3 linked regions of the Drosophila melanogaster genome follow. The protein of the gene in region 2 interacts with the protein of the main gene of each other region in a pairwise test. Each region holds a gene or a part of one and is shown on either strand. Other genes may lie near its edges.

Evidence for each region. Proteins that work in one complex are often made in the same cells at the same time.
Region 1: the proteins of Atf-2 (region 2) and rtp interact in a two-hybrid assay, tested with the Drosophila melanogaster proteins (one large-scale study listed by BioGRID).
Region 3: the proteins of Atf-2 (region 2) and kumpel interact in a two-hybrid assay, tested with the Drosophila melanogaster proteins (one large-scale study listed by BioGRID).

The regions. Positions count from the first base shown.
Region 1 is NT_033777.3:5,235,552-5,239,352, forward strand, and holds rtp (retinophilin), read right to left. Parts: upstream 1,765-3,801; 5' UTR 1,709-1,764; coding exon 1,681-1,708; intron 1,623-1,680; coding exon 1,322-1,622; intron 1,116-1,321; coding exon 848-1,115; 3' UTR 541-847; downstream 1-540. Other genes in the region: Mms19, read left to right, coding at 1-177, 292-483; CtsF (cathepsin F), read right to left, coding at 2,340-2,605, 2,662-2,843, 2,903-3,646. UniProt on the Drosophila melanogaster protein: Plays a role in promoting axonal degeneration following neuronal injury by toxic insult or trauma.
Region 2 is NT_033778.4:24,868,116-24,872,104, reverse strand, and holds Atf-2 (activating transcription factor-2), read right to left. Parts: upstream 1,998-3,989; 5' UTR 1,896-1,997; coding exon 860-1,895; intron 807-859; coding exon 697-806; 3' UTR 616-696; downstream 1-615. Other genes in the region: CG16896 (uncharacterized protein), read left to right, coding at 1-396, 460-615.
Region 3 is NT_033777.3:25,905,070-25,910,061, forward strand, and holds the start of kumpel (kin of rumpel), read left to right. Parts: upstream 1-1,952; 5' UTR 1,953-2,060; intron 2,061-2,477; 5' UTR 2,478-2,593; coding exon 2,594-3,123; intron 3,124-4,957; coding exon 4,958-4,992.

The sequences.
Region 1 (3,801 bases), on a different chromosome or scaffold from region 2:
CTCGGTCCGCTGCTTTTCAAGAGCTTGGAGGAGCACAACGAGGCGCAGTCGCTGTGCATTGCATTGGGCATCTGTGAAAAGTTTGTGGCGCAGCAGGACACGTATTTCCAAGGGCATTTGGCCCACCTCATACCCAGCTGTCTGGAGCTGTCGAAATACAAGGCTCAGCATACCATGGTAAGTTAAACATGCACATATTATTATAAAGATTTGATAGTTAATTGAGGAGGTTTCTTAACTTGTAAAGGAAAATGTCGAACACAAAACTTAAACTCATTTTCTTTCTTATAGCAAGTGCGAATTGCGGCGCTGCAGCTGCTCTACGATGTGACAAAGTATCCTACCTTCGTCCTGTTGCCCCACAAAGTCGATGTTACTCTGGCCCTGGCCGCCGCCTTGGATGATCCCAAGCGTCTGGTGCGGAACACAGCGGTGAAGGCCAGGAATGCGTGGTACCTGGTCGGTGCGCCTAGTCCGAATTAGCAGAGAAACAACTCCGTTCTTGTTAATATTATAATCCAATAAGCACACGCACAAATTCTTCATAATTTTCTTGTTGTTTTTATTAGGGTGCGTTGAAGAATTTTTGATAAAGAATTTGGAAAAAGCAAAATTATAAAGTAAACGCGAAATTGTATGCATTTTATATTACTTAGATACATTTACGAACGTTTATGCGCAAATGTATTAAAGTTTAAGATGTTAAGAAAGAAATGCTTATTTCTTTTCTTAAAGGCACCTTTTTCTGTTTTATGACTTGAGACTCTTACAGTCGGTTACTAAAATTTGTATTTTTAAACTGTACGTGTTTATCAATACCAACTGGTAACCAATCTGAAGTGTCTGTTCAGTATGGGTGTTCGCACTGGGAACGGGCCATAAGAGCGCACTTTTGTGCACGCTGCACCACCTCGGGACATCGACGTCGTCTCATAAAGCGGCAGTCTTGAAAGAATCCCTCGTTTCTGGGAAAGCCGTGCGTGAAGTCCTGGAACGTCAGCAATCCCAGGCCCCAGATCTTGCCGCCTCGAAACTCGCCCTCGTACTTCATTCCATCGGCTCTCCAGAAGATCCCATTACCATGAAACCAGCCCTGATGAAACTCGCCTTCGTATCTGTCTTAAAAATGTGCAAAATGAATCATCATATACAATTTTCTTCACTGGATGCAAACCCTAGGTAAATTATAGCTAAACCATTTCTGATCAAGAATATATATACTAGCATTTCCTCTTACTCCCCGAGTAGTGGCTACAAGAATAGTTTTCAAGTGCTACAATATTTCGTTTAGGTTTACATCACTAATATTATTGAAACTGACTTTGCTCCATCCGCGAACCAGAGGCAGCCCACTCCTTGACTAAGACCCTCCTGGAACTGCCCATCGTAGCGGGTGCCATCGGCGAACTGCAGATGCCCGATGCCGTGCTTTTGGCCACGCTGGTTCCACTCGCCGATGTAGCGACTGGCGTCCTCGTATCGCCATCCGCCCACTTTGACCGCCCCTGCGCTGTACTGGCTTTGACCCTGGCCCTGTTGGTGGTGTCCATGCTGACCCTGCTGGTGGGGGTGCTGTTGGTGCTGGTTCTCGATTCGGGCCGTGGTCACGCCCACGCTGCTCACTGGGTAATGATTTTTACGCAATTTTGTATCTGCATCCTTTTGTCTGTGTTCACTTACTGTCATCATCGTAGTCGTCCATGGCCATTGCTCCGCTACCGCCCGCGATGCGCTTCAAGCTGCTACTGAGCTGGCTGGTTCTGCACCAGAAACACTCATTTTCTATGGCTTCCCACGGTGCGACGGCCCTGGTCTAAATCTAATTAACATATTGCACTTCTACACACTGACAAAGTGTTTGAAAATCAATCATCAAAATCACTGGGTCAAATGTTCCAGTAATTGAAGCAGTTATAAATATTTCTTAACAGCCAATAATACTCTGGCACCCATATTTAATCAAACCATTTTAATCGAATAATTTGAATACATCTCACATAAATTCAACATTTTTCTTGATCCAACCAACCATCAATCTTGACCAACTGTTGCTGCGGCCAGAGCTGTCATGGATTCAATAATAAACCCAACCAGGTTTTAATTCTTGTACAATTTATTGTTATTTTCAATTAAAGCGGAATATGTGGATGCAGACTTTTTCGTGAGATTACAGATGTCTGAAATGATTATACTATATAGGCGAAGCTTTGAAACTCAACGACTCCTTATCGTGACGGTTGAAGAACATGGAAACAGAATTAATTGTACACAAAGTTACTGGCTAAATTATTAACCTAGATATAGTCGTATGCTTGTATATAATTGGACTCAAAGCAAGTCTAGGCCAGCACAGCCGAAGTGGCCATTTCGCTGACGCCGCAAGTGTTGTCACCACGATAAACGCGATAATAGCCCTGCTCTCCCCAGCGCGGACCCCACGAGTTCTTCACAATCCAGTAGGGCAAGGTCTTGTGGAAATTGGGATAGTCGGAGACGCCATACCCCACAACTAGAACACCGTGGTCGAGGTTTTTCTTGGAGCACAGGGCCTTCCACGGATGGGAAACTCCGCCGCGATAGAACTGCATAGCATTCGCATTGATGCCTAGAGAAATGATCTGGTTAAGTGGGCTTTGGGGTTAATTTTCTGCATCGACTTACCGATCGAAATGGGACCATTGGCGAGAAGCCACTCCTGCATGGCGGTCTCATTTCCCTTCGGCAGATCCACGAAGCCGGCAACCTGAACGTGGGACAAAGTCCTGTTGAAGTGGCACTGATTCTTTTTGGCCTTGTATGGGTACTCAGCCTCGTACTCTAGGCCGCCAATATCCTTAATGGCCCTGCGGAGGAATTATTACATAAGTATCTACATCGTAATGTTCATTCCCTCGTAACTTACTTGTAAGCATTGTCCATGAGGCCGCCGTTGCAGGCACTATCCGTGGTATCACAGTCCAGCAGCTCCTGTTCGGAGAACTCTTTCAATTCGCCCGTTTTCACTGCGTACAGGCCTTCGATGTTGCCGGTCACACTGAAGGCCCAGCATGAACCGCAGGATCCCTGATTCTTCACCTGGGTGACAGCATCCTTCTGCCTCCAGTCAAACTCCTTCGGCAGTTCACCATGGTAAGCCGGTACGACAGCCGCCGATCCGCCAGTGGCCTTTGCCTCATCACGCTGCCAGAGTCCCGTGCGTTCCTTGTATTCCGAGCTGGTCATATCAGCAAACTCCGTGATGCCGTACTTGGCGCTGCCCATCTCGTTGGCGTTTAGCTCCTCGATAGTCTTCAGGTTCTGACGGAAAATGCGCAGGCGCATCTGGCGCTCGGCGGTGCTTACGTAGCGACGGCCAAATCGCACCTGGAACTTGTAGAAGAGGTGGTCCACCTTGTCAAAGCGATGGCTGTGCTTCTTGTGCGTCTTCTTCTCGGCCCACTCCACGGATCGCGTGTGTCGGGCCTGGACCACCGGCTGGTTGCGGCACTTAAAGGTGATTTCGTGCTCATCCTTCCTCACCCAGACCTTTGTCCAGATATCCACGATACAGCGGTGCTGCTCCTCCGACCCGTCGATTAGATCCGCATCGATGCGGGTCAAGATGCCTGAATCCACTTGCCGCGAGGCTGAGTATACTTTCACAATTCTAGAGCACAGCAAACGAGCGAGTCAATTATAATGAATCAGACAAATCTACTTAATGCTTATTAATATAATAAAATGAAGAAAATCCTACAAGTTCTTCAAAAGTGTGTACGTTACATTTTTGAATAGTTTCTGAACCTTACTTCTCTACATTCT
Region 2 (3,989 bases):
CGCCGCCTCAAAGAAATGGAGAGAGTTTACCAGGACACAATCCATCGCGAGGAAGAGCGCATCACCTGCCAACGGAAAATGCTGCTCACCTACCAAATGGAGGTGCGTCGGCGCAAGAGCGAGGTCATCACTAAGTTACAGGAGTCTGAGCAGCGACGCAAAATTCTGGAGATGGAGAAGGACATGGACCTGCTGATGCACAGTATTGAGCGTGAGCGTCGGCGTCACAACCAAGAAATGCAGCTGGCCGAAGATGAAATTCGTAACCAGGAGATGGAGCTCCTTGCCCAGCGCTACTACTCGGATACGGAGGGTGCTCCACTGGCACAGAAGTATTACGACAAAATCCAGAAACTTTGCTATCAGCGTGATCAGCTGCAGAAAAACTTGCGTGATGTATGTGATAAAAGATTTTAGATTGTATTCTGTGATCTCCTAAGTCTACTTTCTTCCGAACAGATGACCATGGAACAGCTGCGAACTCCAGCAACATCATCTGTGCAATTTAGTCCCCAGCTGGTGGATATCGAGAATTCCATTTTTGAGATACAGAGAGAGTTTACGGAAATCATAACCACAGACAAAACATTGGAGTACAGAAGGAATTTAACTTAACTGAGGCTTTTTTGTACGAATAAACTACAAGGCTAGGATTATGTACATGGCACTAGAAAATAAATAAACAAGGCATATTGGTTATTTCTTGGCCGCGCTTGCGTTGCTGGCGGACGAAGGCACTAACACGTTGGGCACATTGATGAGCAAGTGTATACTGGATGGTGGAATCCGCAGCTGGTCGGCCACCACTATAAACGAAAATAAATTAACTTAACTTCAGGAATGGTTTATTAAAGCTTACCGCCAGCTAAGCTGCTGTGACTCCTGTGCTGCTGCAGTTCCTTTTCTAATCTGGAAATTCTTTCGTGCAGTTCTTGATTCTCCTGCTGCAGCTGGGCGTTCTGTTTGATGAGGTCCTTATGCTCGTTTCGCATCTTGTTACGGTAACGAGAGGCTGCTGCTCTTCGTCGCTCCATACAATCCTCGTCCCGACTGCGATCCTTTGCTTTCGCAGCCTTGGGCGGTGTGGAGAAACTTCGTCTGTTATTATTGCTGTGGATAATGGCCTTCAATCGCTCCTTGATGGGCAGCTGTGAGGTGGGCGTCAGACTGGCGCTACTGGGCTCGTTATTAGGTGGGTTGCAACTGACCAAAATAGGCTCGGGTCTTTTACTGGTCTTGTTTAATTCTTTCGCAGTGGGTTTCGGCAGTATGAAGGGATGAATGGCACCAGTCGGCTTCACCCTGTTTCTGTTACAATCAACTGTAGCGATGGAAATGGGAACTGACTGCGCAGGCAGCACCCATGTTAGGACCTGGGGCTGGATCAACTGCAGCGGCGGCGGACCATCTTGACTGGCTTTGGAAGGCGAGGTAACTGTCGTGGCCAGAAGCTGGTCCACATCCATATCGCCGCAGCTGACACTTTGTGGGACCTGATTTTCAGACGGAACTGATACCACGGTGGGGGCCTCGACGGGATACACCTGGGGCGTGTGCAGGGACTCACCGTCATTGGGTCGAGCCTCTGGGCGACTCGGAGTGCCGCTGACATTTCGCTCCGCTGCTTGCTGGAATCCAATGTCAAATGGATTTACGTGCTGCAGGTCCTCGAAGAGACCCACCTCGTCGCAGTTCTTGATGAGTCGCGTAGGCGTGGGCGTTTGGTCGGCGGCAAATAGAGTGTCTGACTTCTGCCCGAGAGAAATGTCTAGCGAAACATGTTCCGTCTGTGCCCGAAAGTTCTGATAGCAGGATACGTCGCCCTCTGGGGATTTTGTCTCAAAGTCGCCGAAGGACACACTGGCCAGGTGATCCATGTCTCCGGCGGTGTCCATGTCAGAAGTTACATCAAAATCATGCTATTTACAAATCAAACTCCATAATCTGCCGACAATTCTCAATTAAAACAACTATTTTGTAAATCACATTAGCAAAACAAAAAATAAAATTGTTATCGATGTATGGATGTGTTATTGAACCTATCGGACTCCATTAAGAAACCAACTCTGGCTGCAGTGCTGGAAAAGGTACTAAGTTCTTCTGCCGTAATTACGATGTAAAATGTATTTTATTACTGGTAGAACAAAGATCATAACGTAGAACTTAAAATAAATCAAATAAATACTGAATAATCTTCATTGTGTAACAAAATAAGTAAAGGAATTTTCAAACCTCGATATAATGTATATTTTATATGTTGTTTACCTTAGCACAGTAGTGATGTGTGCAAACCGATATATCGATACCGCGAGTGGGTGCAAAAAAGGCGCGCGAATGTTTTCAATTTGAATCTGGTTACCAATAAATACTGTGTGTAAAAAATACCCCTCTGTCATGAGACCCTTATTATTCCTAGCCTTTCTGTGTTTGAAGCTGTTATGCAACCACTCTTGACATTCGGCATTTCCGCAACGAAATTGCGTATCTGCCATCGCATCCAAAATGCCAAAATGCGAGTCTTCGGCACGTAGAAGCAATCATATGTGAAGAAGAGGAAGGTAAAGCGAAGAAAAAACATCGAAACATTTTTGGTAGCCAAGAAAACCCCATAATTTAAAATTTGTATCTTTTAAATTAGATTTCTCATTGGAGGAACAAGCAGAAAACAGACAGCGGACAAAACAACACGCAAAATGATTTCAAGCCGCTCGCATTTTGGGAAATATGCACGCAACGAAACGAGCAATTTTCTAAAACTCTGCCGCACAAAAAGCAGCAGACTCGACTTGTGGGTCAAGTTCAGTGCTTAAATTGTTCCCAGCGAGAAGATGGAGGACCCCTTCCGGCCCTCGTCCTCGTTGTTCACCACCACTCCAATCCGCTCCGTTTGCGAGGAGGAAGGGCCGCAAGATGCACAGCATGAAAATTAAGAAAAAGTGATGCGTAATTACAGTCATTCTCTTTCACTGCAGCCAAGCGGGCTATTCCACACAGCCATACCCTTGGCCATGTCCCGATCTCGATCCCATCCCATCCCATTCCATCCCATCCCTGCCACGTTGCATGCAACGGACGCGCGTTTTTCGGACAGCGTGGTCCATGGTCCATGGAGCTATGGGATGGAGATGGGTTCCGATCCTCGGCTCTGGATTCTCGTTTCTCGGACTGCGCTGCTGCCGGTAGAAACAATCAGTTTGAAGTTCGTTCGCATAATTATGGGCAATTTTCAAAGAACATGCGTTCCGATGAACATCTCTCTCTTGCCCGCATTCAAAGTATCCATACCCATCAGCTCCTTTTCCTGCCCCACCGCCACATCCTTTCCATCATCGCACTGCAACCTCGCCATTTTTCTTACTGTCCGTCGGTCTCTGTGGTTAGGATCAAGTGGCTGAGTGCACAAAATTTTTTTCCAAACTTGGAATAGCTTGCGATCAGGCTAAAGTAAAGCTTGAGAACAAATGTTTGAATAAGTTCCATAAGAACTTGAATTTTATTTGAAAAATATGTAATATAAAGGTATAGCAGTCCTCATAGTGATACATTGGTATTTAAGACTTGACCAGATTAACCATTCCATTTTAGCAAAGACACGTTTGGCATGACCCTAGCGTTGGTTACCAACTTGATGATCAGGTTTCTGGCCCTAGGAAATTTGCAAAGGAGTCAAGGACCGCAATTGGCCATAACGGCATGTGCGGCCTACAGGATCCGGCTGGTATCCAGCTCAGAGGATCACACTGTCCTTTCATAAATATTCAAAAACGGAGTTCCTCGAACGCCCAACATTTGTTTTCCCCTGCTGCAAGTTGGCTTTCCCGCTGCCATTTGGACACTTTGTTGGTTTGCCATTTCCCCAGCGGCAGTTTTGCATATAATTTATTAAGTTTGGCTGCCTCATTTGGGGTTCCTCCGGGAGACAAAACGGTCTTGTTTATTTTCCGCTGGTATCTCAATTTCTTCATCGAGTGTAAGAGTCAAAAGGTGGA
Region 3 (4,992 bases), on a different chromosome or scaffold from region 2:
AAGGGTAAATTGGGTATACTTGGTCTAAGGTAAAGGAAAAGATAGGCAAACTAATAAAATAACTAAATAAAATAGGCTATATTGGCTATATAGGAAATATATATGGTGTTAACTGTTCCGAAATTTAGTTTACCCCTAAGCTTTTTAAATACTGGGTATAGAAATGAAAAAGCACACAAGAAAAACTGAGCCAAAGTCGGTTTTTCATTTTCGCCTGGTTTTCACTTTGCTCGTCGGTCGTATAAAAATAATTAAATTTTTGCCGCACTTTGTGGCATTTGTTTTGCTTTTTGTTTTCTGTTTTTCTTTTTTTCCAGCGCCACAGTTACAGTGGCCTGGTTTTATATTGCGGCTGACACTGGCCACTATCTATGAGTTAGTTTGGCTCCTAAATTTCACACATAAGTACTTTACACACGAATTTAAATCGGATTTTATCTTTTGCTTTATGGCTACGGTTACATTGTTCATCCCTTTTTTTAATCTTTATTATCTTACTATTGGTTTCCGTCTGGTAGCTAGTACGTCAGACTATATCTTTTTATAGAACATGTCTGAATATAAGTATTCACAAAATGGGGAAGCGTTACTATAACATGAATTAGTATAGACTACTAATCTGCACTATGCAACGTTATTTCGATTAATTCAGGGCTTTTATTTACAAAGTTTATATTTCCAGCTAATTCATTTGTACCTAATTATTATTATTTTTTTGACTTTTGCTCATATTTTAAGCTGTCCTTTTTGCACTACACCTAATAATAGAGAGCTCTTACTGCTGCCCCCTTCGTTTTTTGAAGGCTATCCTTCCTTACAGGGAATTAGCTCCGTAAAAGATTACCGAAAAGCCGAAGTCACGTTGTGTGCGTTTTGTAGGTTTCTGCAAATTGAATTTACCTCCTACATTCGACCCTGCAGCAGACGTAAGTAATTGCTGCAAATGATTGTCAAAAATCAATTAGTTGGTGTGCTGGCTATATATATATTATAGTACAATACCTTACAACATATTTCGCTGGAAATGATAGCCTTTGTGCAAGTGCAATCGAGTAATTGGCGCACAATTCCAGCGATGATATCATTGCCATTGTGCGCCCATTAATGTGCATTAAATCCAATAAAATGGCGTACACATCTGACTCGCTTTTCGGCTGTTTCTATGTATTTATTTATTGTGCTGAACTTTAACTTGATTTGCCTGCTAGTCATTGCCGATCGGATATGGCCATGCCAGCACACTTGGTTGGACATTTTCGTAAATTCGATTCTAGAAATCAAATTACTGCGAAATGGATGCCAGCATTGGTGAAATTCATGCTCGACATGGGCAGGCGCTTAGGGAATTTAGTATTAATTTATAGGCCCATGTACATCACGCATGTGTCACGTTTTAACCTTGACTGATCGCATTTGGTAAATATTTAGTATTCCTGTTTAATCTCCGGCGGACACAGCGATTTGGCTCACGCCCCAACGCCTGATAACCGTGTTACCTCTGGAAAAAATCCACATCACCATTCAATTTTTATCTAAAACCAGTAGCAGCCCGTTTGAGTCAGCGAGCTAAGCGTATTATCGTGGAAATTTACCCTTTTTCTTTTTTAAAGTTGTAAAATCCATTCCAAGGGATATGCATTTTTATATACAGCATCGCGCCAGGCAATAAAGCCACCGACGCGACACGTCCGCGTACAAAGAAAGTAATTTACTATCTGGCAGATCTTGGGCTGGCCAGAGATACACACCATCACACACCGAATGGGGGGTGTGCACATATGTGCGCTTATCTATCCAGATCCGACATGCCCCTGGCAATTTAGGCGATAAAGCTTTACACAAAGCCTCTGCCCACACTCTTACAAGATTTGCGTGAATTACGATCGGCCAATGTGACGATGATGCTGACTTGGATAAGATCTCCGGAGATTTCTAACGCAGCTTGCGGCGGAAAATTAGTTCAGTGCTCGGCGGTGATTTGGATCAAACACTTGTGTGTGCTCTCATCCAAATCGAATTGGAATTGTCCTGAATCCGAAACTCAAGGATCTCGAGAGCGTGTGCGTTATATATCGTCTTAAAAGAGACTTGTTAATATCAAACTATACTTTTAGAAGTGCTTTGCCCGACTTCAATTTCTGATTGCAATTAAAACAATTTTGTATAGCTTTTGATAAAGTACACATTTACATTAATAAGAGCTATTGTGATAGAATCCGTTGACCTTGAATACGTCTGCGACACTTGCGTTCTAAAGATTTAAAAAAATTTCATTTTATTAATAATTTTTTTTTATTTCTCTGTAAAGAAAGCGAGTTTTGATTTTATTTAACATTCAACTATTTTTTAATTACCTTGCGATTGAGAAGCTAGAAACTTTCGAGTGATTATCTTTAAAAAAAGCCCTTTAAGTCGGAAGTGGCCTTCTATTCGTAAAAACGAACCATACTAAACGCAAAGTCGAATTTAATTCACAGTGATTGTGCTCGTGTTAAACTAATGCAAAAGTAATCAAAGCCGGACACATTAAAGTGACGCGGCTGGAAGTCCATAAAAATAAACTACATAAAAGCAACTTGCGGTGCCGGAAATAATGTCAACCACTGCCGATCCCGTGGCGCTGGGGGTAAACTCCCCCGTGGAGGATGTAGTGGCCAAAACCACCACAACGGTGGCCAATGCGATTGCGAAGACAGTGGCCGTAATTAGCAGCACGGTCTCAACTAGCTCCACAACTGGCGCCACTTCCACCATTTCAACGAGTAGTAGCACACCCACTACCTCGACCACTTTCGCCTACACTCCCACGCCCACTCCCACTCAATCAGCATCCCCATCCCTGGAGGATGGTGAGGAGAAACTCAGCGTGAAGGATTTAAGCCAGGCCCTGCAGCATTTCGGTATTGTTGATTACTTGGTCTTCATCGCCATGTTGGCGGTCTGCGCCGTTATCGGCTTCTATTTCGGCTTTATCGAAAAGAAGCAAAAGAAACAGAAGCTGGCCGGCAAGGACGGCGGTGGGGCGGCGGGCGTCGAGGAGAGGCGTGGCTCGGAGGCGCTGGACTACCTGGTGGGCGGACGGCAAATGAAAGTGTTTCCGGTCGCGCTGTCACTTGTGGCCAGGTGAGTTACAGCTTCGGCTGGGGTATATATATGTATATGCAAATGGTAAATTGGCCCGGAGAATTTAATCCTGGCTGGCCAACGGGATGTGCACGGGAAACAATTTGAATACATTTGGCAGGGTTTCAAAAAGAAAATACGGATCTAACTATATTTTGTTAATTTAAATTTAAAAAAATGAGTTCAGCTCCAGGAGAAAAGAAGCTGATCAAAATAAGGATACTTTTTTGCCATTATTTTTCGCTGTGCAGACCTGCCTAATTACTTTTGACACGGCCGCAGAGAAGGTTGAGCATCCTAAATGAAAGTGTGACAGGAAGGAAGCTTGCAAATTTATTGAGCGATCCCGCTTTAAGCCGGCATAATCCGCAAAAATTGAATGCTATGCATTCGCTTGAATGCGGCTAATATTTGCACAAATTATCGTAATGGGCTAAGCCAAGCCCAGGCAGATCAATCAAAATACTTTCAGTCAGTTCGCCTTATTCCATGCCATTGGCCAAACGTGCGTATACGTAATCTAGGCAAAATAGATAATCTGGCCCAGCCCAGCATTGTCTGGCGAATTGTTTGGCAAGGGCAAACAGTGAAGCATTTTATTTAAAAGTTTCCGACTCCGGACAGGGCATTGCGTAAACAATATTCATTGTCAGGGTCAATGGATGATGAGTGCCTTGGTGTTATGTTGGTTGGTTGGATGCCTTTGGTTTGTGCTGATATTGAAATGGCTTGCGGAACTTTGCGAGTAAATATATCTGGCATATAAATACAACTTAGCAGCTCACTGTGTCTAAGCCGGATTGAAGTTATTTAAACTTGTGCTCGGCCGCAAACTCAAATAATTTGCCCAAATTACTTTTTCTTTTGCTGTTCGGACGGCCAAGTGACCTTGGTCCTGCGGAGTGGGGTGCCTTGTATTTGACACATTTTGGTCAAGCACCTTTCGAAGGGTGCGGTCCCTTTGTCTTAGCCGTGTGCTCGACGCATTAATGACCAGGCCGACAGGTCCTGTTCCCCGAAATCCTGGCCGTGCTCTTGGTCATTTGCCTTGCCCAATGACAATTGTTTCGTGAGCCTTTTATTGTTATGGCATTCTATTTGTTGTCGTTTGCTTTTTGCAACAAATTCAGCCAACGTGCCTTGAATTACAATTACATGGCATAATTTTTTTTCTTTCTATAAAACGCCCTTTGTTCCTTGCTGATTTTTTCAATTTTTTGTAAAACAAATTGTTTTGTTGTGTGTGTGTCTGCATACTTTAACGTCGCTTGTTATCAACTTTTAATGGCATTTTTCTCTCGGCCGTCAACTTTCTGTACCGATGGTGGCAATTCATTTTGTTTTGCGGCCAAAATTGAAATGATGATTGTTATGGACATTAATCATTAAAATCAGATTACCAAATGCAGGGCAAGGAAAAAGTTTTCTCCGCCAAATGCGACTAGACATCATTTGTTTCGGATTGGATTAAATTCATAGCAGCAGCACACATGCTTAATATATAATACCAAAATATTATCTTTACCATTCATAGCAAACAAACTTTTAAGATTCAATATGGTGCCATAATGCCCTTAACCTTCGCCAATCGATTACGTTAAATTTATTTTACAAAAGTTGGCCTACCTTCGTTATAACTTTGACCAACGACTAAGTGACCATAACTTAATTGAATTAAAAAATTTTGTTCAAGTTTGCTTTGCGGGATGGCAAAGATGAAAAAAAAAAACTTTGGCGGGGCGAAAATAGATCTTGATCAATCGACTGGCAATTAGCTGAACTTTAAGCTTAAGACATAATTAGCGTGAACTAATTGTTGGTATTTCACTTTTAGCTTCGTGTCTGGAATCTCGCTTCTGGGAACATCAA